2 linked regions of the Callithrix jacchus genome follow. The protein of the gene in region 1 purifies or fractionates together with the protein of each later gene. This does not show direct contact. Links are inferred from orthologs where the notes say so. Each region holds a gene or a part of one and is shown on either strand. Other genes may lie near its edges.

Region 1 (3,653 bases):
CAGAGCCAGAATCTGTCTCAAAAAACAAACAAAAACTCAATAGGACACACAGAATTCTTTTGTAGGTAAACCCACTTACTTCTAAATGCTTAGTGGCCTCTTCATTTCTGGACATAAGCATCAACTTCGTACGAATACTTCGCAAATGCATGTCACTTAAGATATTTACTCTCTTCACAGTTGCTTCGCTGGCAGACTATAAACAAACAAGCTAATTACTCAAAACTTTAATCATTCTTCCAAATAGCACAAATGCCATCTTCTATACAAAGCGTTCCTTGCTTCTCATCTACTACACTTCTCCTTTCAACTAACATTCCGTACTCTGAGTAATCAGACTTTCCTTTCTGAATTCCTGTATTATTTATAACTGCTATTCAGAATAGGTTTGGCTGGGAAAAAATCCACGTTCTCACAGATTAAGAATTTTATGTTAAGAATGTCATGTTAAGATTTTTTTCTCCTTACTCCAGAAGAAATCAAAAATAATTAACATTTTATAGCGGCAAATGAATTTTTCTCCCACACTGTTTTAATAAATAATTCACTATATACTAAGCTGACCTTGGCTTTTCTCTTTTGAAATATCTAATAATAAAATCTGTGCAGTATCCATTAACAAGCTACTTTAAAACATGGTGTTATCTTACCAGTATCATCAGCTGTGTTGTTTCTGGATGGTAAAAAATTCTGCATGCTCCTACTGCTTTCTTAAAATCTTTATGTGCATTTTCATTAGCACACCTAGAGAAAAATTAATTCATGTGTAAGACCTCAATAACAGATTAAATTTAGAGGAGACTTATAATACAAAGTCAGTGTTTCATTTTGACATCCGCCATTAAAACCTTTGTTCATTAAGATTTTCCATCAAAAGGTTTTGACTGGATGTTTGATTGGATGTTTGGGAAAATGTTTTGCAGCACTGAAAAATCCTCTTAATTCACAAAACAATTCAATAGTAAATAAAATTACTCACGCCTCTCTCAAATCCTCAGGAACATCCACTGTGCATTTAAAGAAGGTATTTTTTTTGACCGTTTTATTTTGATTGACAGGTCGAAGTCGTTCAAATGTGACTATTTCATTGTAAGTAGCATCACAAGCAGCATATTCAATGACATAAAACTAAAAGACATCAAAATACTTTAAAAATCCCATATGAACAAAATAATGAAATTTAAATGAAGTTCTAATTACCTTGCTCAGCTTAACCAATGGATCCTCCCCCATGTGGCACAAACACTAAGCACAGCTTAGCTGCACCAATCTGATTTGCCTAAAGTAGATGATAGGTTCTTACAAGCATGAACCTTGGTGATCCTTACATGCTTGAGGTGTACCTCTGGAGTGCAGCTTTGGTGTTTGCCAATACAGAACACAAACAGAAATTAATGCTAATGAACTTCCGAAATGTTTGATCAACTATTTCTCAGGTAGGCTTTTAGAAATAATACTGACAGTAGAAATAACATTTACAAAAACCAAGCACTGAGGTGTTTCCTTAGAAACTAGTCACAAAGCAAGTGTTAAGCTTACTTACTTCTCCTTTCATCATCCGAACTTTAGCCAACCACCACCCACACGGCTCTTGGTCATTTGCTCTTGAATATACCTGAGGAGAAGAAAAAAAAAAATGCCTATATCCATTCATCCCAAAAGATTTCAATGCTGTAAATAATGACTTCTTATAAATGTCCAGTCCCATTAAACTTAAGAATCAAAAATGCTATTTTATTTAAATTGGTATATTAAATGAAATATAATAAAAGTGACAGTTACACTTAAATTTAGTACTTAAAAATAAAACTATACTTTTTCGGGCAGTTTAGCTTCTTGGAAATTAATTCCATATTCATGAGGTTTACTAAACATAAGCATTTTAAAGAAATGCTCTTAAAAAGGAGTTTTAAATAATGTATAACATAGGCCTTCCTGTTTCTATCAACATTGTTAATATTAAATATTATTCTCAGAAAGTGATTAACCTAATGTTTAAATTCCATCAAGGACATGACACTTAGATCCCTTGCCAAAGAACTTAAAGCAAATGTACTAAAATGGTTTGAGTAACAAAAATACTACACACATTCAGTCCATCTAGCAGAGTACACTAAGTATCTTACAAAACTCCTATTCAGGCCAGGCGCTGTGGCTCACGCCTGTAATCCCAGAACTCTGGGAGACCAAGGTGGGTGGATCATCTGAGATCAGGAGCTCGAGACCAGCCTGATCAACATGGTAAAACCCTGTCTCTATTAAAATACAGAAATTAGCCAGGCATGGTGGCAGGCGTCTATAATCTCAGCTACTCAGGAGGAGGCAGCAGGCCAATCACTTGAACTCAGGAGACAGGCCACTGCACTCCAGCCTGGGCAACTAGAGAGAAACTCCATCTCAAAAAGAAAAAAAAAAACCCAAAACAACAAAAAAAAACTCCTATCCACAAAATAATTAGTCTTATATTCTTTATAAAATCAGTTTTATTAACATAATAGATCACAGAAGTTTTCACTTGGGATTCTAGTTAAACCCAACTAAAGACAGAAAGTTTTAGAAAGCCTGAAGCTTCTATCAGGACGATTTGAGAGTAATCTCAGAAGTGGTAGAAATATGGAACTGGAAATGAATAAACCAAAACCTACTAATAAACTTTACTGTACACCGTGATTAGAAAAAAGCTATGAGAAAAGCAGGAGTCCAATATACCAATCAGGATCCATTAAACTCAATTTTAGCTTTTCCATTTCTTTTATAAACAGATCTAACTATTCAAAGGGATCAATATCTCATGACTTTATTCTTCCTTAGACATATACAAAACAATAAGAAAGTTTACTTTTTTAAGACTAGAATAAAACTCACCCTTATTCTGCAATTATTTTATGTATCCACTGGGCCCTTCTATAAATGTAAGGTAGAATATAGTGATCTTATTTTTCCTATATCTTGAAACATTTTACTATTTCATCAACATTCATCAGTTATTCTCAGCTATGTTTTAAATAAAGACTAAAATGGAACAGAGGAGTAACGGCATCACCTAGAAGGACACAACAGTGAAATAAATTGTTAACGCTGTGTCATCGTAGTTTCCTTACTGTATAGCCCGAGGTATCACATCTCTTTCAAAAAAGTGAAAAAAGACTGAGGACGCCATCCTTGCAGTCTGCTTGTAGCTACCGCTGACCAGTTGAGAATTATGAATTTATTTTTCAGTCATAATTGCAAAAAGAAGAAAATTTACAGAGGAATGCCTTTCTAATTATTAGAGATATCAGACAACAGATCCAAAAAGATAGCAGCACACTTGATTCCACTGATAAATGTGAAATTATCTTACAAAGCAAAATCTCAGACTATGAAGTCTTCAGATGGTGACATCCTAGACGAATGTTCTCAAACCACGTATTTCTAAGGAGAAGAGGCAAAGATGATGTGTATTCTCATCCAGTTCATCACTCAACTGAGACTTCATCATGCAAAATCCTCCAACAAGAACCCAGATCATTCTGGTTTTCTAAAATGGTTTATGACAGTATTCTTCCATCTTTTTAAGATGTTTGTGATCAGGCATGGTGACTCACACCTGTAATCCCAGCACTATAGGAGGCCAAAGCAGGTGGACTGCTTGAACTCAGGAGTTCAAGACC
Region 2 (3,653 bases), on another chromosome or scaffold:
CAGGTGTCTGTAATCCCCGCTCCTCAGCAGGCTGAGGTGGAAGAGTTGCTTGAATCTGGGAGGCGGAGGTTGTAGTGAGCTGAGATCATGCCATTGCCCTCCAGCTTGGGCAACAGAGCAAGACTCCATCTCAAAAAAAATAAATAAGAACACAGTCCATTTGTGGATGCTAGAAAAAAAATCTTATTTTTTTCACTAGAACTATTATATTTATTTACTTTATAAATATGATCAAAAATTCATTTTAATAACTTAAAATTTTTGAAATGTGTGTATAATCACGTACCTGCTTTCAAGACGAGTAACCTCTGCCTGCAGAAGTTCCTCTCTAGTATGGGTAAAATTCAACTGGGACAGCACGCTGTCTAAGTCCCCCTGCCCTTGAGAAGTGTACTTCTTTTCTGCCGGAGAGTCTTCCCCTGGCCTATGGAAAGACATAGGATGATTGTTAAGGCCTTTATCTCTGCCAACAAAAAACAATGCACATCTAGTTTGTATTTTCCAATCATTTTTGGTAAACTCTTTGGAACTCATTTATAAATGAGTTCCTGCTTTATAAAAACAATATTGGGAATGCCTCCTGCTTTATAAAAACAATATTGGGAAAGGAAAGCAAGAGTCCAGAGATGCTCCTTCTTTAAAAAGTCAGCGGCAATTTACTCCCTTCTTAACTGAGATTTGGCCTATTTTTCAAGGGAAAAAGACAAAATGGCAAAATCACTTCACTGACACTTGAAACCCTGTACCAAAAAAATTGAAAAGTTACAGGAGAATTCTGGCAAAAATAAAAGTGTGCAACAGACTTTAATCAAGCAAGAAGGCTAGCCCAATGGCTGGCTGCTACTAATGATAAGCAGCTACTAATCACTCCCTATTCCACCAAGAAAGTGAGGCCTCCAGGAGACAGGAATGACACAGAAGACATGAATGACAATTCCCTTCACATCTGGAGATTCACCAAGCATGCAAACTGACCAAGAGGTTTCTAACTTTTTAAACATGAGAGTCTGAGTCTCTGTTAGGAACCCAAACTGGAGGCAGAAGAAAACTAACCAAACAAAATTTTATAACACCTTAAAAACCTAACTCAGATATGATCAAACATAAAATTATAAATATGCAATATTAAAACTAGTGCTTGGACAGGCACAGCAGCTCATGCCAGTAATCCCAGCATTTGGGAGACTGAGGTGAAGGGATCACCTGAGGTCAGGAGTTCAAGACCAACCTAGCCAACATGGTGAATCCCCATCTCTAAAAATACAAAAAGTAGCCAGGGGTGGTGGCGTGCACCTGTAGTCCCAGCTACGCAGGAGGCTGAGGCAGGAGAATCACTTGAATCTGGGAGGTGGAGGCTGCAGTGAGCCAGGATTGCACCACTGCACTCCAGCCTGGGTGACAGAAGAAGACTCTATCTCAAAATAAAATAAAATTAAAATTAAAATTAAATTAAATAAACCTAGTGCTTAATGCCTAGCCATTAAGTGGCTAAGATGAGTAATATTGAAGGTTAAATTTACCTTAGAGCTTCTGCAGCGTGTTGAGCGTCAGCTGCCTTTATTTTTTCTTGTAATTTCTCCTTTAGCATTCTTTCCTCACGGATGAAATTTTCTTGAGACTGAAGAGCTGCCCTCAATTCTCTCTTTTCTTCCTGCAGAGCCTGCAAAAAAGTCAGATATGATTATAATGTTCTTTCAATTCCGTTTTCTTCCTGCATAACCTGCAAAATACTCAGAAATTGCTAAGCCAGATATTATTACAATTTTTCTATTTCATGAGGAAGCCAGGAAGTCAGACTATTAAGTTATGTAACAGTTACAACATTAACACTTATAAAGTAGGAAAGAAAGTATAGATTGCAGAACCTAGTTCTAGCTGAACAACACTCTTAAAACACTCATACACACACTTCCCCCAATTATAGTGATTTTAAAATACACCTCTAATAGTTTTTCAGATTCCCTCAATTTTTCTTCTTTTTGCTGCTGCTCCTGGAGAACAGTCATATTGGTTCCAACCAAGTCATTGACCCTCATGGTGAGGCGCTCTATTTCCAACTCATTGGCACAGATAGTATCATTGGCCCGCTCCAGTTTACTGCTTAAGTGCTGAATTTCTGATTGGCTGGAAAGTTCCACAGACTCTAATTTCTGTTTCCGATTGGCAAGCTGAGCCTAGAAACACAAACCATCAATCAATAGGTAAAAGGGAAATGATAATGAATGAATAAGCAAGACTAAAATGAACCTACTATTTCCATGAAAGCATAACGCACTGGCTCAATAAAATACGTATGCTGAGAAGGGGTAAGAAAGAATTGAGAGGCTGGGCATGGTGGCTGCAATCCTAACACTATGGGAGGCTGAGGAGGGCAAATCGCTTGAGCTCAGGAGTTGGAGACCAGCCTGGAAATATGGCGAAACCCCGTCTTTATTAAAAAAAAAAAATACAAAAATTACCCGAGCATGGCAACACAGGAGGATCACTCAAACCCAGGAAGCAGAAGTTGCAGTGAGCCAAGATCACACCACTGCACTCCAGCCTGTGTGACAAAGTGAGACCCTGTCTCAAAAAAATAAATGAAATAAAATAATGGATAAAGTAAAGGGATTCCTCAGAAGAGATGCTACAGTATTCTACCTACTTACACAGAAATTCAACCACAACCTGTCTAGAGTTATTTCCTATTTAAAACATAGGAAACAGGAGCTATAAGGCATTATTCTATTTCTGATGGAAGTTCAGTTATTAGAATTTTAAAATCACTAAATATGTAGTTTAAATTCCGCCCCCCCCCACTTAGAGCATGTTGTAATTATTCTGTTTTAACATTACAAACATTCATATTTAGATTAATCAAAGTGACCATAAAATGCTCTTTAAATTAAAAGAAATGGGGAAATTGTGGACTTTTGTTTATTGGAGAAAAAGGGGCTTATAAGGCAGAAGAGACTGGTTCTGTCATCAGTTTTTGGACACTTCCTGAGTTAAAAGACGTAAATACAGTGCATCTCAAATTGGTTTCTCTCAATGACATATCTACTGAGTACTATGTTTTAGGCTATGCATCTCAGCAATATTGGTTTTCAGCTCCCAACTTTCTAGTTTTTACAAGTTTTAATCCAGCATCCTTGTACTTCATCTACAAACTTAAGATGAATATAAATCATCTGTGGAGGTAAACTTCCCTTATTCTAAATATTTCTAAAGGGAAAAACACACAGTTTTATTTTTAAAATACAAGTAGAGATATCTCTGGGAAACTGTTGCAGATCTAAAGATTTTATAATTTATAATACAGGTCCAAATACTATACTATATATTGCAGTCAAGTAAAGTAGATGCTAAAAAGTTCCCATAAGCCAGAGAGAGTGTAGAAGAAAGGTGACGAGACAGACAAATACTCTTTGTATAAATTACAAATCAAGATTTCAGTGCCAAGAGCCATTTTTCTTTTTACCAGATCCCCACAATGGTATGAAGAAAGAACATCAACATTTAGGTTTAGATTCACTAGAACAATTGCTAAGCATGGAACTGTCTCCAAACTTTCGAATACAATATAAACTTTTTTCCAAGAGGAAATCTTATATAGAATCCTGTACAGAATAAATAAATGTGCAGATTGGGTGAGGGTGAGAAGGAGAAAAGAG

The links.
Region 2: the proteins of FXR1 (region 1) and CEP63 purify together in Homo sapiens (co-immunoprecipitation; 3 studies listed by BioGRID and IntAct, with this or other methods). This does not show direct contact. The link is inferred for Callithrix jacchus from reciprocal best matches to the Homo sapiens genes FXR1 and CEP63.

The regions. Positions count from the first base shown.
Region 1 is NC_133516.1:9,198,872-9,202,524, reverse strand, and holds part of FXR1 (RNA-binding protein FXR1), read right to left. Parts: intron 1,616-3,653; coding exon 1,544-1,615; intron 1,129-1,543; coding exon 980-1,128; intron 745-979; coding exon 651-744; intron 197-650; coding exon 80-196; intron 1-79. UniProt on the Homo sapiens protein: mRNA-binding protein that acts as a regulator of mRNAs translation and/or stability, and which is required for various processes, such as neurogenesis, muscle development and spermatogenesis.
Region 2 is NC_133518.1:49,629,136-49,632,788, forward strand, and holds part of CEP63 (centrosomal protein of 63 kDa), read right to left. Parts: intron 2,175-3,653; coding exon 1,941-2,174; intron 1,661-1,940; coding exon 1,521-1,660; intron 425-1,520; coding exon 287-424; intron 1-286. UniProt on the Homo sapiens protein: Required for normal spindle assembly.